3 linked regions of the Styela clava genome follow. The protein of the gene in region 3 purifies or fractionates together with the protein of the main gene of each other region. This does not show direct contact. Links are inferred from orthologs where the notes say so. Each region holds a gene or a part of one and is shown on either strand. Other genes may lie near its edges.

The links.
Region 1: the proteins of syndetin-like (region 3) and vacuolar protein sorting-associated protein 51 homolog purify together in Homo sapiens (affinity purification with mass spectrometry; 7 studies listed by BioGRID and IntAct, counting the BioPlex papers as one, with this or other methods). This does not show direct contact. The link is inferred for Styela clava from reciprocal best matches to the Homo sapiens genes VPS50 and VPS51.
Region 2: the proteins of syndetin-like (region 3) and EARP-interacting protein homolog purify together in Homo sapiens (affinity purification with mass spectrometry; 4 studies listed by BioGRID and IntAct, counting the BioPlex papers as one, with this or other methods). This does not show direct contact. The link is inferred for Styela clava from reciprocal best matches to the Homo sapiens genes VPS50 and EIPR1.

The regions. Positions count from the first base shown.
Region 1 is NC_135251.1:21,117,294-21,128,284, reverse strand, and holds the start of vacuolar protein sorting-associated protein 51 homolog, read left to right. Parts: upstream 1-6,149; 5' UTR 6,150-6,285; coding exon 6,286-6,453; intron 6,454-6,715; coding exon 6,716-6,793; intron 6,794-7,244; coding exon 7,245-7,403; intron 7,404-7,835; coding exon 7,836-8,093; intron 8,094-8,239; coding exon 8,240-8,362; intron 8,363-9,128; coding exon 9,129-9,289; intron 9,290-9,712; coding exon 9,713-9,881; intron 9,882-10,322; coding exon 10,323-10,477; intron 10,478-10,991. Other genes in the region: linear primary-alkylsulfatase-like, read left to right, coding at 271-453, 564-1,765. UniProt on the Homo sapiens protein: Acts as a component of the GARP complex that is involved in retrograde transport from early and late endosomes to the trans-Golgi network (TGN).
Region 2 is NC_135254.1:6,140,277-6,150,693, reverse strand, and holds the start of EARP-interacting protein homolog, read right to left. Parts: upstream 4,078-10,417; 5' UTR 3,938-4,077; intron 2,805-3,937; 5' UTR 2,799-2,804; coding exon 2,212-2,798; intron 1,120-2,211; coding exon 916-1,119; intron 357-915; coding exon 222-356; intron 1-221. UniProt on the Homo sapiens protein: Acts as a component of endosomal retrieval machinery that is involved in protein transport from early endosomes to either recycling endosomes or the trans-Golgi network.
Region 3 is NC_135257.1:2,877,990-2,888,735, reverse strand, and holds syndetin-like, read right to left. Parts: upstream 4,850-10,746; 5' UTR 4,801-4,849; coding exon 2,026-4,800; 3' UTR 1,320-2,025; downstream 1-1,319.

The sequences.
Region 1 (10,991 bases), on a different chromosome or scaffold from region 3:
ATCATTAAACAAGTAAAGAAACTCTCAGGTACTCCGTAGGCTACTCGGTACTTCATGCTCGTATCTCCACAAAGGCTGTAGACTGGGCTCAACACTTGTGACAAAGTTTTACTACAAGTGACCAAGTATTGCCCTGGCGATGATGAAATAAACTATAAAAATTAGTGGTAAAAAATAATGAACACAAAAGAGTCAGACACCTTTGTTTGAAACAGAAAATATTTCCACAATTTACTCGAAGCCTCATTGTAATTTTATTTAAAATTTCAGCTGACACATATGACATCGGTATCACACGTGGATTACGGCAACTGGGATCGATAGTGCCTAAAATTCCTAATGCTCGTACCGGTGCTGGACTTGGACCAGAATTACTTGTTGGCGTAGATACAAATCTTATCATTACCGCACCGACAAAAACCTATTCAAATCGAGCTTCCTATAACGTAGCAGGTGAATCACAATTTTACGTCTTTTTCTAACTTATTGAAACAAGTACGTGAATTTCTATGATAATTAAATCTATTACGGCTCAATAAGTAACCAATAACAATTGATCTCAGGTATTGAATTTGAACTTATCCATACACCCGGAGAGACGAAAGATCAGACTACAGTTTGGATACCGAAAATTGGAGCTGTTCTCCCCGGTGATAACATCTACAAAACTTTTCCTAATATCTATGCTATACGTGGAAGTCCTACTCGCGATGCAAAGATTTGGTATACCAGTTTGGATAAAACAAGGGCGCTCGGTGGAAAGTATCTTATCGGCTCTCATACCAGACCTGTGGAGGGAAAGGAAGAAGTCTACGATACATTGTTGATCTACAGAGATGCTATTAAATACATCCACGACCAAACCTTAAGGCTGATAAACAAAGGGTATTTTCCAGATCAAATTGTCGAGAAAGTACAACTTCCAGAAATGGTTAGAAAACATCCAAATTTACAGGAACATTACGGTTCTGTACCATGGTCTATAAGAGGAGTCTTTGCCAGCTACTTAGGATGGTTTAGCGGGAATCCTATTGATTTGCATCCTATGCCGGCGTCCGATCACGCATCCAGAATGGCGCGTTTGGTATCTTACGCCCAGACTCGAAAGGAATCACCTGGAGAAATCATGCTTCAAGAAGCACAGATATCTCACCAAATTTCTCACAACCATTATACCGCTACAGGAAAACATATTCCAAGTGATGACAAATGGGCACTAGAACTAGCAGACGCTGTCATAGAACTCAATACATTGGACAAGAAGATGACGGATGTTGCGAAAACGATCAAGGTCAGTGCGCTCAGAGCAATAGGTGTTGAACAAATCACGGCGACAGGAAGAAACTATTACCTTACATATGCTCTGGAGGTAGAGAATAACCTATCACTCGTGCGTTCGAAGGAAGCACTTGAAATGGGTATCAAAGATTCTTCCGTCAGCCGAGTTCTCGAAATACTTTGCTCTAAAGTTCGAGGTCTCGAATGTCAGTATCAAAACTACACAATAGGACTTTCATTCACAGATATACAGAAAGACTACGTAGTCAGCCTGCGTAACAGCGTATGTGATGTATTCGAACCACCACCAGAAAGTATCGTCCCCCAAGTTCAACTTTCCACCAAATCGAATGTGTACAAAGGGATTGTTGCAGAAGATCTGCAACTAGATAAAGAAATCGAATTAGGAAATGTGAAAATTGACTATGGAACTATCGATACTTACAAGGAGTTTCTGGAATGTTTTGATCCATTAAATTCCGTTTAACTAAATATGACATATTATATACCTATAGTTGCCAGTTTAATTTTTTGACCCCACGCTTCCAAACGAAAATTCATAACGAATTATTGTTTTATTTTTGTCATTTACTGTGTTACCTTAATGATCAAATAACCCTAACCATTCAAACAATATCTTATCAAATTTTAGATTAGTCTTTTCTTCTACCTACAGCGATTTTGAGTATCGAGATTTAATAATAGTCTTGTTATATAAATATAAATGTCCAATGTTGCTGTATCAAACGGGTACAAAAGCGCCAATTGTACACCTGAAACCCCGAGAACCAGATTGGGGATTTCTCAGTTCCACAACATGTATTCAATATCTGTAAAATAACTATAACTGTAAGATTAGTTGCAAGGGAACAGTGATGTCCATCGTAATTCTAGCGAAATATTTGATCCCCGATTCTAGACGCCCATAGCAACAAATAGTTGCTACATAGACGTCAGTGAATATAGGCTGGAGATAGACATCAAGATTATACGTAAGAGTACATTATTTTAACAAGAATAAGTTCCTATAATAAAACTATTCCCATTTTGAAATTACGCTGGTGACTGGCAAAACAGTGAATGCATAAGAACCTGCATCAAACATAGTACATAGAACTTCCCTTTCTGAGAATTCATCTGAGAAGAGACTGTTAATTTGAGAACAGGCAAACAGAAGTCCTTTTTTGCGATCAACGAACATCTCTATATAACGAAACTAATTTCGAGCATAACATACTTCTTACTTGTTTAAATGATGATGGATGTTCAGGATAGTTGTACGAGCGCGGTCTTGCGTACTCCAATTTAGTGTCCCCAAATACACATAATAAACAAGAGAGCATTGCTCAAATATATGGAAAAAAGGGCCAACGCAAAATGCGATCGCGAAACCGCCACAAGGTATGCAATTTTTAATTTTGATGACGTCATCACACAAAACTTCAAAGTTAAAAGGAATCCCATAGAGCCCACAGAAATTTTTGAAATAAATAAAGTAGTAGCCTTCTAGCGACAACAATAATCTTTAACCACCGAAAATTTCAAAACAATGGACCTTTCCCCGAGCATCGACTTCCTTGTTTACTTCGTGACATTAGCCAATCAGCAAGATGCAAAAAGGGCGTAACAATGCACCCTTTTCGCATCCGCTCAGACACTTTTCTCACTCAGACAGATTTTCAAGCGTGGTCGTAAACATTACCTCGTTTTCGCGTTTTTGAACTCTATTCGTTAGTTTTTAGTTGTGTTTCGGAAACTTAAATATAAATCAGATAATTCAATGATCACTCTGTCTTCCTAGGAGTTTTAATTTAATTGCAGTAATAAAAAATTAGTGTAGAAATAGCTGTGATAGACTAGGCTAAAATTCTTCACCGGTACTTTTAAAATACAGATTGTTGTATGCGATGTTGATTGCAATGGTAAAGTATAGAAAGGATTTTTCGGGGGTCAGAGGTTGAGGAAAGGTTCATTGGTCCAGCAGGTAAATGGAAAGGGATTTTTTTACAACAGGTGAAGAAAAACACGGGGAAAAATAATAACAACAAGATGAAGAAGAAAAATACCACGAAAAAACTAAAAAAACTTCGACAAAACGATTTGTAGGTCCATTTCGTGTCCAATAACGTATTTGTAAGTCCGTAGGAAAATAACTGGCTATTTGAAATCGTTAAAATGGATGTCATGGCTTGTTAAATAGGAGTAGCTGGCATCGCGTAGTTCTTGGGGAATAGAAAGATTATTCGGAAAGGAACTGGTATTTTAAGAAATCGACATTTTACATGAGTGGGTAAATCAAAGCATATATATATGAGTCCGAGGCAACACTTGGACAATGGGTGCCATTTTGAATCAATTGTTTTCGGTCATGTATCACAGGCTCTCATGGGAATTTCGCACGCACTCATTGAAACATCCCAATATTTCACCAATTTATATATATATTTTACATTGAAGGATTAAGAAAATCGCGTTTTCAAGGAGGAATATTAGCCGAACACATTGATATCATAAAATGTTTGCCAAAGTACGTGTAGGCCTATAATGCATTTAATTGTCACTAAAGAGTTGCTGGATTGTATCCGAAGTAAGATTTGACCATTCTATGATGTCACAGATGGGAAATGATCTTTATCCGGAGAAACCTCATTTCGATGGCCGTTTCCTTATTCAAGTCGACAGCTTTTGACTGTCAATCGTCAACCAAAAACGTACAACTATTGAGTCCAAAGATGTGCTTGACCAGTAATTCTTAAAGTGGGCGATATCGAGGGGAGTGGCAAAGGGATAAAACAGGTAGCCTACCATCTCCTCTGGGGTGACAAGTTGACAATCAGCTTAATAGGAAGCAAAGCTCTATTTGACACGAAAACGAACTACTTGATCCGTCAAAAGTACTTTCCAGTCTTCTTGAACACTGCTGAAAGTTATAAGTACAAGTGAATACCTTAACCTAATGTTTTCAAAATGTTCGGCGACTCACTGCAATCATTTTCCAGCAGTGACAAATGTTTGCAGTTTTTCGTATAATAATTTTCTGCTTCTTCTCACAATAATTTAAAATGCCATTTTTCATTTTCAAGCTTTGCAGACATTTGCTGGTTCTACCTGACTGGCGTAGCTTCCGTACTCTTTCTCCTGGTATTGCCCCATTTAATAATACAATAATTACGGAAGATTTGTAGAATCAAAACCTTTAAATTACTCAAAATATTACATAGAGAATAACGTATTTTCCCGAAAATAAGACCTAGCCTGAATTTTAAAAATGACTTTAATATAATAATAAGCCCTCTCCTCAAAATAAGACCTGGTCGATAACGCAAAATTTTGACCTAGTCTTTAGCAAGAAATCTCTCCTACACGTTTAAAATGATTAATAAACTATGTTTTACAGTTAATTTGAATAAAACGTGTTATTTGTAAGTAAATGGATATCGGCGCTCATATTTTGTATGTTCGAAAATCTCGTAATTCTCTACTTTGTAATTTGGTTTTTAACAAGAGAGCTATGCTCAAATATATGGACACGTAGAGTCACATAATTTTGATGACGTCTTAGCGAAAAAAAAAGTAATAGCCTTCTAATAGCCTTTATCTTTAACCACTAAAAATTTCAAAGCAATTGGTCCAGTATTCGAAGAGAAAAGCGACTTTTAAAAACGTGTCAAGCGGTACTGAGTTAGCAGTCAGGCAGCATCTTACCTGTACACTGTAGGCCATATACGGTAATTGATCACAGAACAGTTGTTCCCTTGCAAATTTTATGTTGTTTACACTTTAGGACAGATAATTGATCACAGAACAATTCTTCCCTTTCAAATTTTATGTTGTTTCCAGTAGACTCTCATCAAAATAAACAAATATAGTAGGCTACAAGTGCTACAACGCTTGCATTACTGCACTGGTAGGACCGTGAAAGAATAAGTTACGGTAATTTCATTGTGGTAAGACACCGGTACCGGCACCAGTATCGTACTTACGTACTGAGCTACCAGTACCGGTTAGCAGTCAGCCAGCATCTTACCTGTACACTGTAGGCCATATACGGTAATTGATCACAGAACAGTTGTTCCCTTGCAAATTTTATGTTGTTTACACTTTAGGACAGATAATTGATCACAGAACAATTCTTCCCTTTCAAATTTTATGTTGTTTCCAGTAGACTCTCATCAAAATAAACAAATATAGTAGGCTACAAGTGCTACAACGCTTGCATTACTGCACTGGTAGGACCGTGAAAGAATAAGTTACGGTAATTTCATTGTGGTAAGACACTGGTACCGGCACCAGTACCAGTATCGTACTTACGTACTGAGCTACCAGTACCGGTACCGAACCTGCAGGTCTGATATTCCGTTCCGCATACGATAGGCTATAAAACTTGCATTGCAGCATTAGTAATACCGCGGAAGGAATAAGTCAATTTCACTGCGTTACGGTACCTGTGTGGCAACTTACCAGTACCGACCTACAGTAGCTGTACTACTGAGCAAGACAATCGATCGCGAAACCGCTTGAAATAGGTGTAAAACAGTGTTCCCATGAGTAAAAATAAATACCGCGAAATTTTGTATGAAATATCATATCTCATAGGATTCATATAAAATTTAAGAATAAACAAAAGTAATAGCCTTCTAGAGAAAAAATTAATCTTTAACCACTGAAAATTTCAAAGCAATTGGTCCAGTATTCGAAGAGAAAAGCGACTTTTTAAAAACGTGTCAAAGAACAAGAACAACAAGAACAACAACAACATAATATTGAAACGATCGTTATGTCCACTACGTGTCCAATAAATGAAAATATAAGATCGAAAATAAGCCCGTGTGTAGACTCAGAGTCAGGCCCAAATTGTTCGGGGTCAAAGATCAGCTAAATAAGCAGAGTAAATCGCGACACTGGAGTTGCTTGCCAGTCAAATCGGCTAATACCGGTAGTTTTTGTATTGTTTTTGTAATCGATTGGCTGAAAAATATATAGATAGTCAATAGATAAAGTTTAGCAATGGAGGAGACAGACGAAAATCGTCAGACGAGACATGCGCGTAAAAATGATATGCTCAAGATGTATTACAATGTCGATGGTCAAAATCAATCTTCAGTTTCCGATGGACATCTGGATATTGACAGCAACAATTTCAAACCTGAGGATTACCTTCGCAAATTAAAGCAGGTTGAATTTTTTGAAATGATTCAAATTTTACTAGTCAGCTAGCCCAATTCACATTTGACACTATTATGCAGTTATGTTCCTGTATTAAAATGGTAAATTCTTCATGTTCAAACGCGGAATGCTAAATTTTGATACCCATAATACTGTAATTGCTTACATTATAGAACTAGTAGCCTAGTTTTGTTTTTGCCCAGTACAGCAGTAATTGTAGATGTAGTTTTTCTAATTTTGATAAAACTTTAATTGAGGTTTTTATTGTAAGGAAAAAAATTTGGAGCAGCTGATGGATACTGAACATGACATGGCACGTCAGATACGAACATTGGACAGTGAAATGCAAGTATGTTCTGCATGTTTTTTAAACGGAGTTACGGTTTAAAAGTTTAAATACATGCATTATTATCCAATGATACATAAATATCCCCTGGCCTTTACCGTCCCTCCATATTGGTGCAAAAACCACAAAATGTAGCTGCACATTAAACTCAAACGAAGTGGAACTCGAAACTGTCTCGGCAATAAATTTTGTGGGTTAAAGTCTGATTAAACAAAGCAGATAATTAGGAAACTATTGTCGAGCGAATTTCGCTGGCGTCACAGTTGATTTATTAGTATCTCACAAAGATAGTGCCGCCGTATCCAGTGCTACCAAAACGACGCCCCTCGTTTCAGAGCTTGTTTATATATTGCTAAATCTGGTCAGTTTTTTTAAACATTGAAACATGTGTCATACTATATGAAATATGCTATTCAAGAAAATGTAGCAAAATTGAATATATTTGTTTTAACAGACGTTGGTGTATGAGAACTACAATAAGTTCATCAGTGCGACAGATACAATTCGTACAATGAAACGAGATTTTCATAAAATGGAGGATGAAATGGAGAAATTAACTGCAAATGTTTCATCAGTTGCAAAATTAAGTTCTGAAATTAACAGTACAATGCATGTAGGTTCTTGTTGCTTACCGTATCCTATTTCTTATCAACAGTATTTCAAATTTTTTTAAGGCATTTCTAATTCATCCAAAATTTATTAACATTTTTGTATCATTTTCTTCCTAATTTTAAGATCTTTTACGTCCTCAATTGCATTTGATAACTTATTTGTTGCCACCTAGGTATGCATCTCACTTGCTTTACAAGATAATTGCATACCCATTTTGGTATCTTTTTAATTCTCATATAAGTCTGTTCCTAACCCTAACTAAAGTCACTGAGATCTCACAACCTCCGATATCGCATACCAAAGTAGTATTGTTTTTTTACACCTCCGCTTAGAACTACTAAACCATTTTGTCTATATTTTGACACCAGCTAGCTGATCATGGATTTGAGCAGTTTCTGATGACCCTCTCATACTTTCCGTAATTTCACTTTAGGACAATCGACAGAAAATACTGAAGCTATCAGGAGTTCATTCACTACTTAAGAAGCTGCAGTTTCTGTTTGAATTACCATCCAGATTACAAAGGTGCCTTGACATGAAATCATATTCTGCTGCTGTGACATATTACACCAAAACACGATCTGTTCTTAGTCGTTACCAACACATGGAATCATTCAGTGGAATTCAACGTGACTGTACTGAAATTATGAATCAAGTTATCGAAAAATTAAAAGACACTTTCCATAATAAGGTATGCTTTTTCAGTAAGGGCTTCCAATTCCACATAGGTGCTATTCCATTATGTTTTATTATTATGATTGGGTTCTGTCCATTCATAGGGCGCATCCGTCTATAAGAGTGTTCCATTAAAAATACTCTACTTCATATTTTGTGCAGAATTCTACACCTCAGCAATTAGCTCAATGTGTTGGCTTATTATTACGATTAGGAGAACCACCAGCATCCTTATGTGATGATTATCTTCAACACACAAAACGAAAGTTACTGGAAGATTTAGAGGTTTGAATTTTATATATCATTTAATAATGTAAACGTATGTTTCACTCAAAACGATTAAGCGATAATGATATTCAGTTACAGTGATGTGATCAAAAACTGTTTTAGTTTAGAGCATGGATGGTGAACCGTTCTTGCTGAATATATTATATTTTTTAATGGAAATTTTTTCCGCAGATGGTATTGCAGATAGATTTTTGATCTTTACGTATCACAGATAATTTTCTGTACTCAATTTTGTGAAATTAATTTTTGTAAACATTGACCCCCTGAGTACAAAGATCTGGAAACTAGCATTAGCAATGCATCAATAAATAAATATTTTCATGCTTTTAAAATAGTTTGGGAGGGAATTCTACTTTTCATATACTGTTATGAAATTTTCTGCTTGGCTTCCAAGTTCCAACTACAATAAAGTTGCCAATATCCAACCCCATTTTTAATTCAGATTTCTGTGGACAGTTCTGAATCGCCACATGTAGATGAGTTTTCGAGTACGATTCGATCTATATTAGGCTATATATGGTCATGATTAATTAAGATATACAAGGATTTAACTCTAAAAATCTGATCTCAGCTTGACGTTTCGCACCGCCCTCTTGTATCGGACCTCCAGAAGTATGTGCACCAAGATGGCGCACAACCTGAACATAGTATGTGTACCAGGTTAGAATTCAGGTTGTGTGCCATCTTGGTGCACATACTTCTGGAGCGACCTCGTATTTACTATTCTTATGATTCATCAATATTCATTTTGAATTTTTCTCAGGAACTGGAATCATATCTATCATGCAACTTCCTTACATCTCCATCAATTACTAGAAGTTCAACAAAAACTACTATAGTCGCAGAAGATAGCAAAAGTATTGGAAATACCAATGAAGAAACAGATGAACATACTGATGATATAGTTGAACAAGAAAATACCAGGTAAAACTTTAAGCCTTCAAAATTAAATACCCTGTTGACATGTTTTTTGTAGCTCATGAATCCTTATTAGGTTTATAGGCATCTTCACGTTATTTGAGTCTTGAATATATACGGTATACTTTGATGAAATGAGTGTGGTAAAAGACTTAGCCTAACTGTCACAAGTATTTTATTAATGACTCCTGCCTGCTTTGCACCTTTATAAACATGGGCCAATTTGAAAATTCTGTATTTTTTGGATAATTATGCAGACTTAAATATCTGGATTTTGTAACATGCTCAAGCTTACACTGTTGTACGGTGGTATTGTTAGGTCCATGCTAACAACTTTCCAGTCATTTGTATCCTAGCCTATATTGAAAATATGGAGGAAATATTGTTCAAAAAAGATACCAATTAAGTTTTCTTATTGTCTTGGTTTAGGTTGTTGATCGACGTATTAGAATTCATTGATCGAGGCAGTAATGGATTTTTGAGCAATTTGTCGTTAACAATTGCTGCATATGAGAATCTATTTGTTAATCAAACAAAAAACATTCCTGAAACTTTATTTCAAGAAATCGCAGAAAGTTCAAGCATGAGCGAAATTCAGGTGACATTGTTATGGATATTTTCTTGCGGTATTTCTTTCACATCCTCAAATCTGTTTTCTGCAAACTTAAATCTTTCTTTTATGCAACTAGATATATGGGTGACATCAATTTTTATAAAATTCTGCTTTCTTTTTCATATAAGCCCTCATTTTCACTCTTTAAAATATCTTCTGACAATATTTTTTTTCGTCCTATATTTTGACTTAATTTTAGTTCTTGTGTTTAAATTTCGAGCATTTTAGAATTGAGCTTGGCATATTTGGTACTAGTTTATCCAACATTTGTCAAATTTTTGAATATTTTGATTTACATATTTAATTTAATATATATGTTCTTGCTTTTATTTTCCATGGATGACTCTTCATTAAATTTACACATTCACAATATCTTATGCTTTGAGTCTCGACTAAATCTTGTATTAAATGATGTTTTACTGACAGGAGGACATGTCAAGAGTTGCAAGTGACAAATTGACTGTCTTCGTGAATGAACAGTTGAAACACTATTTTACTCTCGTGGAAAAACGATTGGATTTTGAAAAAGAGAGCAGTGATAATGCTCTTTTGGTCAGAGCTTTGGATAGATTCTACCGCAGGTAAGTTTTCAATGCTTTTTTAGTTACTTTGATACTGTCTGGTGACTACCTTACTGTTAGGAATTTACAGTAACAATGGGCGGTGAACATATAATATATCAGAAAAAATGCTCAACTTTGTCTTTATTTTTGTAAGATTGCACATTACAAATCCAAATTTGGCTGAGAAAAATTTCTATTATTTTATAATTTTGATGCAAAATATATTTATTCAGAATGATTAAAGTTGATTACAAGGAGGAATTATGAAACATTTCAATTTTGGATGTACTAAACTGATATAGCCTTTGCCTAAATTGAGCAATACTGCTGGTCTGTTGCATTTGTGGCTAACCACTTGTTAATCTAATGAACAATATCCCCAAATCCCAACTCATTAATATTTATGACAAGGTTTATATAATTTTTCCCTTATGTCTTTGATATTGAACAAAAACTTTTTTTCCAAGTTCTAAAGGCGCTCCAGAAGTATGTGTACCAATATGGAGGTAACTAATTTTGCTCGCCTATTTTA
Region 2 (10,417 bases), on a different chromosome or scaffold from region 3:
GTTTTGCATTGATACTAAATTGCATGGGGATACATTGTTTCTTTTCTCATATATTAACATCTCATTGTGGGTTGCACAGAAAAAATAGCAACAGTAAAACTGAAAAAGGGTGGAAAGCACTGTACTAGCCCATACATATTGGGCTGCTTGCCCAGAGTTTTATTCATCACAACTTGAAAAATAAGCTGCAAAACACTACTTGGAAAATAAAGTCCACTTACTTCATATTATACAATATAACCCGGCTGTCACTCCCACCACTGAGCACCAGTTGGTCATGGAATGGATTGTACCTTGTCGACCAGACCCAGTGTGAATGATCATCAGAGAGAACTTTAACCGGATCAGAAAGATCTCTGAAAAAGAGAACAGATTTTTGATTTTCTATTGTTATGGCAACCATTCCCAAACTTTGCGTTCATGAGGTGCCAAAGCCAGAGTATCAGGGGAAAACTTATGGAGCACCTACACGAAAAAATTGCTGCTTTTTGAATAAAACTCAATTTTGTGTGTATGAACAATAAAGGCAAAAGGTCAACAATATAACATTTATAATAAATACAAAATGTAAAATATTTAATCATTTAATTTTTGCGGCACACTTTTTGGGAACCTCTGTGTTAGGATATAGCAAACACAGAGCTTAAGGTCTTTAAAGTGATCGTCATTAATACAGATTACTCATTTACTTTGGATAAGGTGGTTTAGAACACACCATTGTTACTGCATCTAGAGCTTGTGGTGTTGTTCCCAGACATCGAAACATATCGACATGAATCAAACGGGAACATCTCTATAACAGGAGACCGGTGCTCAAAATGACGACACATAATTAAATTCTGAGATATATTTTTCGTGTTTTCCTATCACCCACCCCCCCCCACAATATAAAAAAATATAACTTATTAGCCCCACCTTGTGTCCCAGAACTTGACCTGACAATCATCTCCACAAGTTACGACGTAATACATCTTATTCGGATTGAAGTCGACATCTCGTACAAGTTGTCCATGAGCCCCTTCTATGATGAAAGCTTGAGATTTGGATCGAATGTCCCAACCGACAACATTTTGCTCAGTGGCCGCTGCAAATTGCTTGCCACCATGATGTGGGTTCCATCTTGAAAGAGAGATAGATATTTATATCAGTTATTTTTCTGCATCGTTTTTAGTGTAGTGATTGAAGCACATTAGGATTGGATTTGGGATTGAATTTTACATATTTATCCTGGGGGAGAAGAAAGCTGATAAGGAGCTCAATCACATGGCACACCATGGCCTACATGAACCACCCCGCGGCGGGAAGGAGTCATGCGCCACACCGCTGAGCATTTAATGGCTCAATCTAAAAAAATTGTTCTGGGGAAATGAGATATTTCTGATCTTGAAACTTCTCTAACTTTATATTGAAATACTTTGGTGAATATGGCTGCAAACTATCATTAGATCAAAAAGCATCTTTTTTGCATAATTAGGGCCAAACACAAAATGTATCTGAAATCAATTAGAGGAACATCTACAATCAACGTTTTTGGAATACCCTAATTTGGTGTAAAAGAAGAGCCCCCAGGATTAGTGAAAAAGTTTGAAAGTAGTGTGCCCAGTGAAAGCTAATGAGTTATGTTTTAGATTTCTCAAAGACACTACTTTTCAACTTTTTCACTAATAATAATAACAATTTTTGGGTTTTCCAACACGCTTTGCAATCTCACTTCTCATTACCTAGGTTCACAGTTTAAAATCCTGCGTGGGATAATTATATGCAAGAGAATTGCTAGACTGCTTACTGTCATAGGGTGGTTCAAGTAACCTCTGGTCGGTAACACCTTCCTCCACCATTATGTCCATGCATCTGGAACTAGTTCTTTGACAATGATTCCCATACCTGGCATTAACTGATAACCAGACACAGTGATTTCCCTACATCTCCCCTAAACTTTCAAACTCCTCCCCTAATTTACAGGTATGACACCATACTTTAATTCTTAAGTTAAATAAAAATGTATTTGAATATTCAGAAAGTGGCTCATATGCCGGTTCAAATACATAACAGATACAAACAGTATTTACCCCCCTCCCCTCCTACCCTAAATAAAAAATCTGAGGAACATACTGACCAGAGATGAGGCCGTGGTTCTCCAAATGTCTTGTCGGTTTTCTATCACCCCATGTAAATAATAAAGTCCCATCCGTAATGATCAAAACTACTCACCTGCCGCTTGTTATAGTGCAAGGATGCCCTTTTCTAGTTGGAAGCTCGAACGAGTCAGAAAGCTTTGGTGTGCCTTGCTCCATATCATAGAGAAGCATTTTGCTGCCAGCAAGAGCCATTAGGAAGTTTTCCCCTTCTATTGGTTTCCAATGCGAACTAGATATATTTCCAAACTCCTCTGAATCTAGGGTCGCCAGATTTTCTAGTGTTCCTTGTTGACTTTGTGTAATGTCTTGCGTAGTGGCTGAATTAACTATTGGCTTTTGATTCTCATCTAATGGTAGTTTCCCTACCATACATCCATGGATTAATTTTCCATTTTCAAATGCTTGATAACAGCTTGTGAAAACATCTGGATTGTTGAAACTTGCTGACAGATGCCATACTTCACCAATTGGGTGAGAAAACATGGTTTTATCAATGACATTGTTCTCATCATCGAATTCCACGTAATGGAGTTGATTTTCTTGTCGTAACGACTGAGTTGCCACCATAAATCGAGTGATATTTGTGTCTGCTGATTGTGCGCAAATACATCTTGACGGAAGCTCAAGTCCGTGAATTATTGGAGCTTCATCTAAATCCATTGCTCTCTATAATAAATTTAGATAAACGAGTTTATATCTACTACCAGACTACATGCACATTTTTCCTGGTCCGAAGATGTAAACATCGTGAATACTGAAATAATGCTAAACAAAAATGTAAACTGGAATTTTTTTTTTTTTGAAAAATGCCAAATGGGGTAGCAATCTGAGCAAGACAGATTTTTATTTGAAAAATTAAAATTTGCTGTATTTTCACATCTCGTTTTTGTTCGGCATTATTTAAGAAGTTATGACATTTATTTTTCCATCATATTTAAGTTTGCTGTTATTTGAGTAGTTGTGGAATTGTGACATTCATTTCGGTAGAACCTATTTTTCTGCCTCTCTTGAACCAATATTTACTATAAACAGTGCGAAAGCAGCGGGGAACCCAAAAAATACATGAAACACAAAGAACTCCGTTCTGCTCCTTTCCACCTTTTTCTTGGTTTAATGATAATTATAGCACTTGGTATTTCGTACCTAACTTACTTTTAGTGGGCGTAGCATAACAATTTTTCACCTATCAATCCTAACCCCAGACTGACTACGCCATCCAAAAATTGCATCACTACGGCATCACAATCGCGTCATCGAGATTGCCAAATATCTCTTACATTGGGATCGTTTCGGTGAGAAAAGGAGAGAAATAGCTGTTCAATTTCAGGTGCTCGTTTGCGCGTCTTAAATGGCAGTTCGTATAGTTTGAAGGGCTCTATTACGTCACTGTAGTCAGGTGGGGGTTATGATTGATACGTGAAAAATTGTTATGCTGCGCCCACTGGAAGTATGTTAGGTACGAAACTACATGAGACCCAAATTGTCATGCTACGCCCACTAGAAGTATGTCAGGTACGAAACTACATTAGACCCAAGATCTCTAAGTTGTATGATTAGTAATAACTAATATACTTGCACAGGTTGGTAACTAAATGCTAGAATATGAAAAGTGTGCTTTGCTCAACGTATAGGCAATTATATTATTATTTTCTTGTTATACTTTCTTACTGTCTTATGCTTTTTCATTATTCATTGCAATTTCAGAATTTTGATATGGAGTGTGCCTTCAGTATGGTGTGAAAATTAACTGCTGATTACTGAATTTCAATAACTTTAAATGATAAAAAAGGAAGTCTTACTTTAATGTGAAGTGTTGAATTTAGAAGCAAGCTGGTAAGGCAAGTTTTCTCCAAGGTAATCCACAATATTTTGTCTTTCGTCTGCAGGGGGCATATGCGGCTTTATACCTTGCCCAGCTCGTTTTAGTTTTACAGATCCCCAAAATCTTTTGCAATCCCTATAATTTCTGAAATACTCGACACACTTTTCTCTGTATGTTTCTCGATCGTAATTATTATTGGACATACACGATATTGACAACTCTTGTTCCTGCATACAAGGGTGGATATCAACGTTGTTATAAATTGTTGTTTTGGTCTTTTCTTGGCTCATAACGAAACACTACTCAATAGCCCGAAAATACGCCGCAAACAAGCTCCCAATTGAGCACAAAATGTCATTTTCAGCAGAAAAGCGTGTATGACTTTGAGCAGCAAAACCAGAAGTTAAAAAATGATCTTTATCGCCCACATGCGGTCAAAAAATATTTGACGAGATCTTTTATCTAGTTGTGGAGTCGGATAATTTTTGCAATCAACTCCCACCCACACCCACAGTGACTATAATCACTTTTCGCCCACGAGATAAAAAAAAATGTGACTCCGATTACGGATTAAAAAAATTGACTCTTGAGTCCGGGTTGTGAGTTTTGTAGACGGTTTTGAGTTTTTTTTACCATCACTGAAAGTCTAAAATTCTGATTGCAACAAATTCGAATTTAGACTCCAGATTTAATGGATTTGAAAATACAACTCTGACTGCACAGAAACTCAAGGATTATGAAGCTGACTGGGTAATACATATACGTACAGGATGAGCCAAAATGCAATTGAACTCATGCAATATGTCCTAAATAGACTGGGTTCCGTTTTTAGATAGAAAGCCAACTTGGCAATTCTGATTGGGCAATTTGGCATTAGGTGACTCCAATTATAATCAGCTTGACGATATTTTTGGAGGAATACTTTTCTATCCACAGTACATTCTAATTCGGTATCCAATTTGGCAATCCTCATAAAAATATTAATTTGGTGTGGCAAAAGAATTTATTCATTTTTTTTTCTCATTTGTTTGTATATTTTCCTTTTACTGAGTAATTTAATTGATTTTGAGTCTCGCTTTTTTTTTATCTTCCGACAGTATCATGTCTCGATGGTTGTGTGTATGTGTGTGTGTGTGTGTGTGCGTGCGTGCCCTAATTAGTTTTTTTTTACTTTTGAGTGAGCGAACACGTACTACTTTTTTTATCAATACCTTTCCATCTAAAATCTGTACGTTTCAAACCTTACTCGAGGTTTTGTTCGCTTTCCCGATTATATAATCAGTTACTTTTATTTTTATCTATTATTATCGCCTATTGCTGATTATGGAGTCGAAATAAACTTATGCTTTACGTAAACGATCTCAGTCGGTAAGTATGGTGATAGGTATTTGCCTGTTTGGGTGACTGTTGGACAATTTCTTATGTCACACCAATGACATTAAACAACATGATGCGCAACTCCGGCATTTTTGTCCGAAGATCGTATTCGATAGCACGCTCCAATGCACATACTTGACGAGACGAAAACGAGCGGATGTGTGCTGCTTTCAAGGCGTAGCACGAATGGTGTTCGTGCCTGCTTTGACAGTTGTTGTCGATTTTAATGATATTTTTGAAAGTTGGGGTAAAAAGAAATCGGTAAAAGGTAAGGTGAATACTATTGTTGTATATCACACCCGGGCATCGCACTGTTAAGTACATGTGGGAAAGCCAGCCTTTGTCAAATACTACGAAGTTATTAATTCAGTACGGTACGTAGTTGCCCATTTGCCGAAATTACATATTTACTTACCCCTTATGGTTTCAAATAGTTCATGCACCTCCAGTTAGATTTTTTTAATCAGTGAGGATATATACTCATTGTTGATTGCTGCTCATTGTAACATACTATTACGCATTCACTTTTATTTGCGTATTGAATCAAAGTGTTAACAAGTTCACCTAACATTTCACTCATACCGGTCTATATTGTATAGTCTGATTTCTCAAGTATTTGGAGCCACGAATGCTTGTAATTTTCTGACTAAGCCCTTTTATTAGTTGGTTTGCGAACGAATCAGATGTGCGTGGAGTCGTAATTTTTGAAAACCAAATTTTGGTTAAAGACCTTGCGTGCATCATGTCAGGGGATACTGAAAGATTCAGTCTAAAGGGAATTATAGTTAATCGTTATATTTTTTTTTTACTCCACATCGATATATAACATATTTTATGTCTTTTCGTGCAACCGTTTAATTCTACGGTGCATTTCATCTTTTATGAATTTGGTCACTGATTTAAATAATAAAAAAACATGCTCGTAACCAGGATGTTAGGTTTTTTTTTATTTTAAATACTTATGATGGATATTTGGTATTTTTTGTTTTTTGAAAATGTTCTTTTTTTCTTCAAAATATTTATTTTGAAATGTTTTGGTGTTTCATTAACTTTTTAAGCTATTAACCTGAATCAACAAGCGTTTTAGGTGTCGCTGCCTGAAGACCTCTTGAGGTCCCTCGCGACTCCTGTCACACAATTTAAGTTAGTTTCCACTTATATTTGTAATTATTTTTTTATATATCATACCATGTTTAAATTGTGTTGACGAATAAATGATGATTGATTGATTGATTATATACCAAATTCAGTAAAATATTTTTTAAATAAAACATGAGATATTGGATTTATTAGCTTTTCCATTCTGAATCATATAGACTGCTTTATTTATTCTTAACGAAAATTAATAAATCTCCTCTCTTTCTTCAGATGTGAAAGTTGTGGACAAACCTGTCTAAGCATTGCGAGAATCTTGCAGCACAAGAGCCAATAGCAGAAATAGCAAGTATATCAATCAAGAAATTAAGCCGACATAAAGCAAAACTTTCAACTATTCGTCCAATCTCAATTTCCTATTATTTATTCACAGGACAACTATAGCAGACGGGGAGATATCAGAAGTCTGGCGACATATCAGTGACAGTGTGATTCCGAGAAATATAATGCAATTGAAAATAGAAAATTGCAATAGAAAAACAACCTATGGAGGCATGCAAAGACATTTGACCCTCCGGTAGAGTTGTGTATGGCCCCCACATCCTGCAGGGCTTGAGGAAAATAACTAAAAATTCCAAAGCGTAAGATTGCATAAGCGGTCTTATTTGTAAAAAGGCACAAAACACGCCAGACATACTTAAAACAGCTTTGGAAATGAGGATTACGGGTACCTCACTGCACCTGTGTTATATTTGGTTCATCAACTTTTGGTAGTACTATAGAAGAAATTCCGGAAGGGGTATAATCATCATTCATGATAAAATACTATCATATATTTTTTGAACAACTTCAATCTATACCAGGGATCTCAAACTCGCGGTCCCAGAGAACTTCCAGTGCGGCCCTCGAACGCTTAACAGTAATTGTAATAGTATTTTGGAAGTTTTTATTTTTATCTAAATGTAATAGATTTTTCAAACCTTCTAAAGTGAAATTGATTATTCACACAGAAAACAATTTACTGAAAGTAGTTTTGAAATATTGATTTTTTTTGTCCACATTTTGACCCAATTAAGAATACACATCAAGCTAGCAAAAGAATACTTGAATAAAACACTTGAGTAATTAAATTAAACGCAAAGTACATGAAGAAGGTGGCATTTTCGAAGAAAATGGGAGTTGTAACATTTCTGCTCTTCACAAAATTCTGAAGCACATTGTTTAATTTGTCATATTTCCATCAATACAATCAAAAAACACAATAAGCTCAGCAGTCAATATGACAAATTCGAAGACCAACTTCGAACAGAAAATTTCCATGTGTTTGTATATTAATATAATTATACAACGACTTAGTTACTAAAAATCAATATCAATAATAATTCAAGCAATCCTATGCCACGCAATGTAGTGCGAAATGTCTTGTCGAAAAAATCTGTCATTTGTTTTTTTACTGATCTATACATGAAATGATAAAAGTAACTTTTTTGCATTACTGGAATTAATTAAACATTCGTAAAGATTCAGATAAACCCATGATCATGTGGCCTCGTTAGTTAGAGTTGGTACTATAAAATCATTTCAGACTGGCCTTAGTATGCTGGTGACACAAAAAAATGCCAAACGCCAGGACAAATGTAATTATTAAAACATTGAGTTTATACTGTAGTATTTTTGTTAATTTTAGGTTCATATATTTAGATAAGTTATTTTTAGTGTATGTATTATTCTTTCCTTATTCAAAGCTTGTTCAAAAATGATTTTGATGGTTGTACATAGAATTTTACGATTTTTTATAATAAATACTGTAACTTGCAAATGTTGCAATAATAGTGGAATGCAAATATTAATATGTAATTGCATTTGAAATTGAAGAAAATAATAAAACTTAATCCAACTGTTTAGTTGCATCACAATATATGTCACAAACTAAAACTATCTTAAAAATATCTTTTAAGTATACATTATCAAAAACTGTTTGCGGCTCTTTTTACAATTTTCAAAATGCAATGCGGCTCTCGAAAACCCATGAGTTTGACACCACTGATCTATTCTAGACGATTCAAGCATTGCTTTGGGAAATTATATCACTTCAATTAAATTGAAATAATCTCGCTATATTAAATACAAAATCGTTGCTATCATAAAGGTAAACCAATTCAGCCACTCGAAATATATTGGCCTTCACAAAGCAATGGAGGCAAAATTGAGAGTTCATGAACTATGAACATTTGTTCTTTTCTTTGTCTTGAACTTTCCATACTCCACAGCCCCTATTAATTTTTTTAAATTTTAATTACCATGTGATGGTCATACATATCTTTAACTTGTATTTTCTGTCATGATGTATTATCTCAATGTGCCAAACTATTAATTAGTGAGCATATTTTGCTTCCAGATGACATAAATGTATTGTCATGTTTATTACCTCAGCTTGGAGTATTGACAAGAAAAAGGTGCCAGTAAATTAGGTAAAAAAATTTTCAACTCATTGTTATAATCAGAATTCACAATCAATAGGAATTATAAACAGCCAACAATCAGTGAGAATTATATGCGAAATCCCTCAGAATAAATTTGTCTAAAATCGGAGGAAGTCAAAAAATATAGGTAGTTTCTATCCACACAAGCATTTCAAGAAGACTTGCTCGAGCCAAACTAAATGAGCATCGTCAGGTGATCGGTAAGGCTGCAAGTTGAATTCAGCCCTGCAACCTCCTGCATAGAAGATAATATTAATTAGTGGGCTATGAGCTAAATTCTTAAATTTAAACAAACCTATCTACGATGCATTATGTACCAGCAATGTTACCTACGATTAACTGAATATGTAATATGTCTAATAAATTCACCTACGAAAGCAAGTTCGATAGGTGCAAACTTTGTGTTATGGAATTGTATCGCAGCACAGTTTTGTATGACACCCTCTTTAAATGAAATTTCAATGATTAAGCGCAAACATTAAAATTACTAACTTTGAACTTTGTCATTATCTGCAAAATGTTCCACACAAATCTTTCCGCTATCGCGTTTGTAATCTTCTCTGATAGAAAAAAACGTCTATGATGTCCAGAATTGCTCTTTACAGCTTGCCTGTTATTCCAACTTTCCAAGGAAGCAAAACTTCTTAGATATAGAGATTATTTTGTTTCGTTACAGGCGCAAAAAGGCAGGTACTACACGTAAAAAAGACGCCGAGTAGCAAAAGCGAGCGGAAAACGGACGCGAAAGGCGACGAGAAATATGTGCATTGGAGCGTATCATGAAATACAATGTTTTGCCTGTAGTCTTATGGAGTGACGTCAGAGTTGCCTATCATGTTGTTTAATGTCATTGGTCACACGTATCTCACGAAAGCGAGATTGAATCTGCCCCAAATTGTGCATGTGCACTCATCACACTCGGACCAGAAGCCTATTGATTTTGGATGAATTATGTCGTATAATTAGCGAGGTATCAATTAATTGGTGATGAGACACGCGGTGTCGCTATTGAGTCAGAGCGGAGAGAACATGCATCGATAAGTCGGCGGTCTCCGATTGTAATCTAGTTTTTTTTAGGGGGGAGGGCACCCCATACATTACAATAATATATGAGGCCGGTCATCAAATCGCTATTTATATTCATTTACATTGTTTTTTATTCTCACCTAGATCTCTATCAGTGTAGGGTAGTGTCACAAGTAAGTCGAGTCAGTCACTGATACAAGCCTCACAAGCTACTTAGTTGATGGCGAGCCTAAGTTGGCGGTCCCCAAGGGAACCACGGGCGATTGGAGGGGGCCACAATGCTAGGCGCAAAACTGATTTTACTTCTCCATTTACAAAAAAAAACATTTACTTCGTTGCTTGATAAGATATTTCACAGAATGTTTTCACTTTGCCGAACATTGATTGTTTGAACATTTGATATTCCAGTATTCGAAATCGACCAATCAAAATCACTATAAGTATCTCTGGAATGATAAACAGGGGGCCATGAGTTC
Region 3 (10,746 bases):
GTGTACTCAAATGCAGCCATGAGGCCGCAAACTATTTTATTCTTGCCGCGACCTTAAACCGCACATTAAATAACATATATATATATCACAAACCAGGAATTACGGCATATACTACTTTTGTGAAATATGACGAATGAGTAGAATGATGAGTGGTTCGAGCAGTAATAAGATAAAAACAGCATAGAAGTTAATTTCTCCAGCTAGTGCGAACCCTGTCATTTACCAACTTTTTAATATTGACTGTTTTTTTTTCTTTTCTTGATAGCGTACAAGGCAATTGATTAGTTACATTTTCGTTATTGGGCCAGCTCCAATTCGACCATTTTCAATTTTGAATAGAAAGAATCACAATATAGGTTATCCCTATTACCTGCGCAAAATACATTGCCATTTTTCTTAGAATGGGAAACTTTTCCTGAAATTCGACGGCAGGTCGCTAAAGGCAATTGAAGGAGTGAATCAGCCTGAAAATAAGGGAGTGAATACTGAGACTGAAAAAACGACGTTACAATATACTAAAAATAAAACAAAAATCGCCATGAATTGGTTTTAGTAGCCCGGCGATAGATAAAAAAAAAATGGGTATGTTGGACATGGTAAATTGCGAAATGTACCTTAGTCACTGAAGAAGAAACATTTAATTCTGCGCGCGATGCACCTTCTTAATCTTAACCATTCCTAAATTACTGTCGGGACCGGGACTCCACTTTTCCTCGTATCAGTCGTGAATTAATTATTTGGCGCATCAGAAAATTAATTATCAGCTGAAAAATTCTCTTTTAACGAGTGGCATAATCGTGGTGACTGTTCGCGAATTGTTCCATGTGTTTAGGAATTGCCTATTTTTAAAACCCCGCCTCTTTTGAAAATCGTGGATCTCGTCAAGATTACTGTTTTCTGGCTGATGAAGGAATAAAAAATATTACAGCTTAAAACCATACTTTAAAAGAGGACATATTACATAGAAATTCACTCTAAGCAAGATCATGCGCAGTCACTTTTAAGTGCAAGAACCCAAACAATCAAATGCCACAATCGATTTAAAACATTCTCAAATCAGATAACCGATATTGATGTGACTTAAAAGGATCGCTGAACTGTGGTCACAAGCACTCAAGCTTGTTGATTGATGCTTCGTCCGCCACACACATCCATTCATCTGAGACATTGGGCTACGTTATTTCCCAACACTAGTTCAATATCGCCTATCATTCTTGTACCTGAACGTGAAAAACCTGGGTCGTAATATTTTCAGGTCTATTTTTTCAGTTTATCCATTCCTTAGATGATAAAATTTGAAAATTAATATTGATTCACAGTTGATGCTAAATAGGATAATATATTATATAATAATATAATAAAATAATAGCATTACACATATTTTGAAACATTGAACGAAATTAACATAAAACTATTGACCCATTTTGAAACAGCTTGATGAAAAATACCTTGTGACAGTGCAATGCTAATAGATAATTAAGACATGTGAAGGTAGTAGTATAGTAGATATATTGCAAAATACCCTTCATTGTTGACAGATAGGGCTAAGCTCTATAATCATGCTTGCCAACTTACACTATGAGAGTTCGAATCCCGGGCACTAGCGATACTAAATAACAACAAATGAAATCCTTGGTATACCATCATGGGGAACAATCATGTGTAAGATATATGCTGGGTCCATAAATCTCATAGGGTTCATGAGGCCACCGGTCAGAACACCTTCATCTAATATCAAGACCATACACATGAAAGAGTAACTTGTCAACTATTCCTGTATCCACTAGCAACAGGGCGAAAAACTGTGGTTTGCCATCTGGTTAAGTCATCTCCCTTTTCATTGGGACAAACTCAGCAAACTATTAAATAGACTCCTTTCTACACATAACTGTATTAACAGAAGTAGTTTAGTTTTCAATTTTGATCCATTCAGTTGAATTGTTTCTTTTTCCGAGCACAACATGCCAACAGCACTTGCTGTCATATTTTCATCGTCCACATTCTCAAAAAATCTGGTGTAAATAATCATTTTCTTTTTGTGAGATCATCAATCATTGCACGCATTCTTTGCTTATTTTTTCTGTTAGCATTCCCAACTGTAGATGATGCACTACAGCTGGTTAATGCGGATAACTGTTTTTCTGAATATTCCGAATGATCTTTCATCCATTCGTCTAAATCTTTAGCAGTAAGATAATATGCCTTGATATAATTTTCGACAAACTCTTTACCTGGTGCAGGTCGAACTCCTGTGATTTCTTCAGCTTTAAGTAGAAACTGCTGGAAGTCCAATTGCATCAATGCTCGTCCTTCATTGCTGCACTTCTTAACATTAGAGAAACCCTCAACAAAAGTTTTGCCCGACATACCAATGCAATGTTGCCAAATTATCTTTTCTATTTCATCCGGAAATGGCATGTCATTCGCAGCTGAGGTGAATCCAGACTTCAATAATTTGAAATGATGTAACAAGGCATCAACATATTTGCTATGTTGTGACATTATTTCTTTTAGATCCCATTTAACTTCGGCCATTCCACTCAAAATAGAATTATAATCAATTGATCCGGCCCCAACAGTAAAATAAACCAGTGATCGCACTTCGGCGCAAGTACTTACAGTCTGGGCATAAAATTGTTGAAGAAATGCTTCTTGACTTGATGGTATGACTTTTCTTAAAGTAGGTTGTAAATATTGAAATTGAGCAGCTAAGTTCATAAGTGATTCTGTAGCTGTTATTCTATGAGGGAGACCAAACATTGTTGACCTCTGCTTGAGATTCACAATAGGAGAAAGAGATGGAAGGGGTACTTTTGTGGTTGTATTTTTTTCTTCTGCATCAAATTCTTTTCTAATTAATTCACTCTTTATTCGACTCAAAGTGGTATATAGTTTTTTGCTGCATCCAGGTATGCCAGGTTCATGAGCGGCAAACACATCATAAATAGAGATTAGGTAGTAATCGAATAAGTGTGACATGCATATTATAACATCAGTGGCAATCGGCTTGAGAACATCACACATTCTAAGATATTTGCCACAAGTTCTTAAGGTATTAAGAGCAGTGTTAGTTAAAAGCGGTCCAACTACTTTGTTTTCTTTGTGACTGATGACATCGTCATCATCAACATCTTCCTCAATATAATCAAATAATAGTTCATCATCCATTTCATTGTCATCTATGCTATGAGAATGTGTTTTGCCATTAACATTTGTTTTGTCATCTGATTTTCCAGCAAATTCTTCAAATGGATGTCTTTTATTATCATTATAATTAAAAAACATATTTTTGCTAGATTTTTCTGAATGTTTCGTTCCTGAGGACTTTATGATATCTTTGTAGTTTGCCTCATGCAAGAACTTGAACTCTGGCAATTGCATCACAGAAAAGTTCTTTTGTATTGGGCAAGCTTCCCAAGCTTCATTGTCAAGAAACATGTGCATTTCCTCTAACGACTTTTTATGATAAGCTCGGAAGTAACGCAAACTTTGTTGGTATATTGGTTCATGTAAGGTTGAACCAAAATTGTCTTTCTCAGGGTTGTCACCACTTCCACAAAAAGTTGCACCGACCAATATGAATTTATTGACAATTCCAACAACTTTTATAAATTCATCATATTTAAAACTGGACAGATCAATACCAAGAAGTAGACTTTTTATTCTGGATTGGACATCCAACCATATTCTATGACGTCCATGCTCAAGCTTACGTGTAATATACTTATTATCAATCTCTTCATCAGAAATCTTAGTATCATCAAATTCCGAAAATTCCTCACTATGCCAAAGTGAGACTTTATGATAACAATACATTATAGTCCACAATGCTTTACATAATGCAAGCAAACATGGTATATAAAACGATGAATCAACAATGGAACAAAGATCATTGAATTGTTTCTTTTGAAGATTAGCATCTGGTTCCTTTGTACATAGTTGTACATAACCAAGAAGAGTTTGAAATGCAATATTATGTATGCAAGTAGTGAAATGCATAAGCAATTGGTCAACGGCTGTTTGCCTTTTACCAAGAAGCTTGTAACCAACTTGAAGTTTTTCATACATTTCAGAATCAAAATGGTTGCACATTTTCGAAAGGGCAACATCTATTTGTTCTTCAATTTGTTCAATTGTATCTTGTAATTTAGAAGATAAGTCTTTAATGCAATTATATTGTCCATAGGCGACAGCAACCTTCTGGCATTCTAAACACAGCTGTATTGCTTCTGGGTAGTTCTCTTCTTCCATCAGCTCTCTCAGCCTAACATCTGTATGTTCCAGAGTTTTTATTGTGTTCAATGCATCATGCAAAGCTATTAAATTTTTTCTATGTTGAACATGAACAAGAAGTCTCAAATTAACAAAACTTGTGACAGATAGCAAGTGTTTTTTGCCGGCACAGCAAGTAGAAAATCCTATTTGAAGATCTTTCTGTAAATCCCGTACTCGCTGTAGTTCTTTCCGATAAGCAGGCTGATTTTCAAGAATAACATCTGAAAGTTTTTTAGAAACTGCACTCAATTGATTGTGCAGCTTTTCACACATTTCATGAATCAACTCTTGTGTAGGATGGTCTGGGAGTCTCTTGACGTCAATAATATTGCCATCCGTGTCTGGATTAAATACAGCATCATCAATGGATTGAATGGTTTCTGCTTGAAATGTTGGATTGCTTAAAATTCTTGAGGGAAGTACAGTTGTTCTTTCTACCGTATGAGGATGAATTTCATCATCTTTCTGTTTTGCACCAGGAGAAGAAATACCAACTTGATCAATTAGATTTTTTATTCGTTTCATGATCAACCAATCCTAAATATGATTAAATGTCCTGTATTTAATAGAATAATATGAAATTCACCTGATTCATTTTAAAAGTGTCCCAATACAGCAATGCTGCAATGTGACATTCCAAGGCCAGAAGGCCTGAAAACAGGCAAAAAGAAATCAACTGCCAACAAATTAATACGTTGAATTAATACGTAAAAGGCCTTGTTCAACATAATAAAAACATGCACGGTATTATGTATCCGGTTACATCTACCGGTACCGGTATAAAACGCAACTTGAATGAATGGAAATGTGATTTCATAAAAGTTGTTGCCATACGGTATCTGTGTATCTGCATATCGGTAGATACGGTAACTGGATAATTTGTTTGCCTGTCTCAACCCACGGACTTTATGGACCGTAAGGTACCGTATCGGTATAGGGTTGCCAACTTTATGTTGAACCGGAATGTCTAGATTCTAGAATTTGAAAATTGATGCAACCTTAATTGAATACCGGTACTAATACTTAATGCAACAGAAGCTTGTGAAACACGAAGCACGTAAAGAGCAACAGTACGGTACGCGCTGCGTGCCGTGCAGCTTATTTTCACAAACTGTAAATAATTTTATCATATGTGAAATGTTGACTCTTTGACGCATAAATGCAAAAAAATCTAAAAAGGGGAGTTGTACAATTTGTGCTAAGCAGATTAATTATTTAACAAAAATCACAACAAAATCCAGTCTTTCTGGTATTTAAACTCGTATTTTTATTGTGATTTTGCCGCTTCAACCCTAGGGAACCCACGTAACACCCCTGCTGCACGATCTTTTGGAACCTGTAGAAATAAAATGTTTCGACCCCTAAGGCCCATGGACCTTTCCCCGAGCATCGACTTCCTTGTTTACTTCGTGACATTGGCCAATCAGCAAATTGCAAAAAGCGACGTAACAATGCCCCCCTTCCGCATCCGCTCAGACACTTTTCTCACTCAGACAGATTTTCAAGCGTGGTCGTAAACATTACCTCGTTTTCGCATTTTTGAACTCTATTCGTTAGTTTTCAGTTGTGTTTTGGAAACTTAAATGTAAATCAGATAATTCAATGGTCACCCTGTCTTCCTAGGAGTTTTAATTTAATAGCAGTAATAAAAATTAGTGTAGAAATAGCTGTGATAGACTAGGCTAAAATTCTTTAACGGTACTTTTAAAAAAAAACAGATTGTTGTATGCTATGAATCATAATGATGGTTTGAAACACATAACCCATTTCACAGGCGCCAACTCGCAAAAGCACTCTTGAAATAGCCCCGAAAATTTTGCAATGGTGAAGTATAGGAAGAATTTTCCGGGGGTCAAAGGTCGGGGAAAGGTCCATTGAGGTGTATATATACACCTCAAACGCATAAATGCAAAAAAATCTGTATATATACACCTCAATACTAGGGCCAAATGTTACTCAATAGCACAGCTTTTGTGCACCGATCGGCCGGTTAGGTGGCGCTCCAGAAGATTGTTTATCATGGTGTGTGGTATTTTCGACAAGATCCTGAGAAGCCTGGAAACATCGGTCATAAATGAAGAACACCGATTGGTGTCAAATAAATGGTGAGTTGGCTTCTTAGTTACTTTGATATAGATTACTATGTTGTATGAATTGAGAATCTAGAGTGAATACTGACCCGACATACGATGAGAATCTAGAGTGAATAAATGGTGAGTTGGCTTCTTAGTTACTTTGATATAGATTACTATGTTGTATGAATTGAGAATCTAGAGTGAATACTGACCCGACATACGATGAGAATCTAGAGTGAATACTGACCCGACATACGATGGTCTACATTTGATGCATCACAGTTGTCACATCGGGACTAGTTATACAATTGGAGTAAATAGAATCGGATAGGATTTTACATATTTATCCCGGGGGAGAAGAAAGCCGATAAGACGGCTTATTCATATGGCGAACCACGGCCTCTCGTCCGGTTACCATTCCAATTCGGGTATGGGATTAGTTATATTGTTTTACGGAAGCATGGACTTGGTGGTGGAGGAAGCCGTAACCGACCAGCGGTTACGTGAACCACCCAACGACGGCGAGGAGTCCAGCAATCCTCTCGCTCATAACCATCCCTGCATGGGATTCGAACCCACGCAGAGTAATTAGAGGTGCGGTGGCGAGCGTATTCCTAACGCTTAGCCCGTTGAGCCACACCGCCGCGCCGAATCTGCATGTGACACCGGTGACACAATAATTGCACGCATTCACATTATAGCCTTAAACTGCCCTTTTTCTTGCTTGGTCAGGTCACTAACCGTATCTATACTTTTTTCTAGAACATGGCATCGATTGGGTCAAGCAGCTCGCGGTGAACTGAAATTGCAAGAGTGTACAATGCTAATGATATTCTTGTCATTTTGAACTGTGACGACAATGATGTGGAGGCACTAGTAGTGGATCAGATAGTGAATACGATATCAGAGAAGACAAAAACAACGGCTCCCAGGTTCATAATATTTTCATAATATTGTAGTTTTTTTTCCTAAAGAAGCATTACACAACTGCTTACGATCAACAGACACCGAAAATATTTTCTGAAAAATAACTTTCTCACTCATTGATCGAAACAATAAATAACGTTTTTCTTTGTTTGCATTTCGTGATATTTCATTTTACAGGTTGAGTCCGAAAGTTCTGACGACGATGTTCCCTTGACGAGTCTACGAGTGCAAAATCAAAAACAAAAGCCAAATAAATAATGCAACCGACGGCAATCAGTTTCGGTGGAGAAAGAAACAATTCGATAGGCCCGATGCAACATCAGACGATGGGACAGACGAACGAAACAGCATGTGCACATAGCCATGCCTGCTATCGTGCAAGAATACAATAAGTTTATGGGAGGTATTGATAATTTGGATTCATTTCTTGCAAAGTACAGGTTTCGAATGAAATCAAAAAGATGGTATCTTTATCTCTTTTGACATTTTATAATGGTGGCTATTGTGAATGCATAGATCTGGTACCGTCGTGATTGTGCCCTGCTCCATCTTCCAACGTCATATATTATGAAACGGCGACATTTTCAAGCAGCAGTCGCAAGCGCTTTGATCTATGTCAATAATGACACCCGTCGCGGGAGACCCTCGTCTGAAGTTGAAGAAATTCGCAGCCCCGCAAGGAAAATATCCAAGGCCCCATGTGAAGATATCCGACGAGACAAATACGCACACTGGCCAATGAAAATTGAGAAAAGGGGAAGATGCAAATTGTGTGAACGCAATCAAACAAATACCAGCTGTTCAAAGTGTAAAGTGAAACTTTGTTTTGTCGAGGGCCGCAATTGTTTTTGACTTTCCACGCCTGAGGAATTGGAACAATTAGTTATATTCTCAGGGAATCGTTTCTGCAGTTTTTATTTCATGCTTGCTTTATGCGCAAATGATTCGCCGATATTGCTCTTTGAGTTCGTTCGTTCAATGTTGGAATAAAAATGTGAGACTTCAACTTGTTTCGACTAAATTTTTCACACTTGTATACAGTGTAAGTTCCGTTGTAACACATATGCCACATTTTCAAAGTGGGGTTAAATGAGGTCAAAGGTCAAAATGGGATAAATTTTTGTTCAACATGGTCAAATGGACTACGAATCCCAAATATCAGATTTTTCCTTCAACTCTATCATTGTCAGGGCCCCCCGGGGTTAAGAAGATTTTTGTTAGTTAGTCACTTTGGTTTTCACAAAGTTTATGTTAAAATTTGTAATCCTTACGGAAATATAATAATAATGAACTCTCGCTAAGACAAGAGCTGTCAGCAAGGTGTCCTAAAACAGACGGCTAAATTAAATTTTAGCAAATTAAACATTAAATTTTTTAACAAATCTCACCAGATTGAGTGTTTGATCCTCTCAAAATAGCCTATTTTAGTGTTATTTCATCAGGAGGTCAAAGTTGACAAAACATGTCTTATCCACAAATTTTAACTCACTCCCATTTGAATGAACCATACAGATGTAATCGTTTTTATGGAAAAATATATTTGCGTGAATTACACCCGTTTCCAGTTTTGTAGCCGGCACACTTACAATGGTCTCCTATTTTAGAAAGCCTTTGTTGTCGTTAAATTCTGGGACGGTTGGTAGCCCTAAACGGGTAACACGGTTTGATTTTCAGTCGCTTTGGGAGTTCTTTAAAAACAATAATATACAAATACTTGTGGACTTAAGTATAAGTATATTTCGACTCCATAATCAGCATAACAGACAATATAATGATTGATAAAAACAAGAAAATAAAAACTGACTATGAAATCGGGGGAGCAAACAAAACCTTAGAAAAGGTTTAAAACGTAGCCTACAGAATAAGATGGAAGGTTTTGCCAAAAATAAGTGGTATTCTACGGTGCGTGCTCATTCACCAAAAAATATTAGACTCATCCACACACACACGCACCCACATACACCGACAGAGATATTATAAAGTAAGAAAAACGCGACAAGCGTAAGATAAACACATACCAGTAGTAAACAAAAATATAATAATCAGTAATCAGTAGTTTATTTTCTCACCATACTAAATGCACACTTTATATACAAATTGCAATAAATAAATAAAAGGCATTTCAGGGTGAGGGGAGCCGCGAGAAACCAAATTTGGTTATCGAGCAGCGGCACCCATAAGCAAGTCTAACAAGGAAATAATAACAAAAAAAAGTCGAACTGTGTCAAATAAATAAATGAATAAAAATTACCGCTATACCAGTCAGCCAGTAGGACATTTTGGCATAGTTTGGTTTGTACCGGTACTCGTGATGATACTGTGATCAATATGGCCATATATCGTCGGTATTGGCTATGTACCGGTAGGCCTACATGTCATTCGCTATTTGATTAAGACCATAAATTTGTTTACTTCTGGTTCGAATGAAAAGTGATATACTGAACTGATCGGATTATTGATTTCAATATGGAAAAAAAAACATAGGCCTACTGATAAAGATGATGTATTTCAAAGCAGTGACACCACTTTTAGTGCCGGTATTTTGCATGATACCCTCAGTGACCATCCCATGCATATTGATGCTGGCAATCAAGATAGCTCTGGGGCACTATAACAAACAAAGATCATAACAATTATGAAAGAAGAAATAGAAGAATGATAAAAAATCAATTTGCTGAACAGAATTCGAAAATTGAAAAAAATGCTGATGAGAACAGTAAGGCAATAAGCTCACTCATTGAAAAACAAAATATGCTGAATGATAGGGTTGAAAAAATAAGTGTGGCATACAAAAATATCAAATCAGACATTAGTGACTTGAAAGATAACCAAACCTTCGTGAGGAATGAACAAACTGAGACCAATAATGCAGTTAATGATTTGGAGGCAAAGGTAGAAGAATAAAACAAAATGATTGCTGGTCTTCAGAGATATAGCCTATAAACAAACTGAAAGAAGAGAGCAAAAAACAAAATTCAAAACAGAATGAGCTTGAGCAATATGATCGAAGACTGAATCTGGAAATACATGGCTACAAGCAAATAGAAAATGTGTTTGATATAGTCAGATAGTCACTAGAATGATTAATGTTCAATTGAAGGATAAAGACATATCTGCTACACGCCGGCTTGGACCAAAAGATAAAAACTCAGGTATCATAGTCAGGTTTTGTCGACAGAGCAAAAGAGATGAAATTTACAGTAGAAAATCTAACTTGCTCAAACAACATACGAGTAAATGAAAACCTTACAGACTTACAAAGACAATTATTTTATTAGGTAGTCAACTAAAAAATCAAAAAGGCTATATGTTTGCCTATACCTACCATTGAAAAATATTTGTTAGAAAGAACAAAGGGGCAGCTTCTTAGGGTTTTAATTTAAAATATCTAGTTCTGATGATCTAGTTAAAATTCGATAGTTTCATGTTGTTAATTTGCAATCTTGTTGGGATTTTTTTGAATATGAGT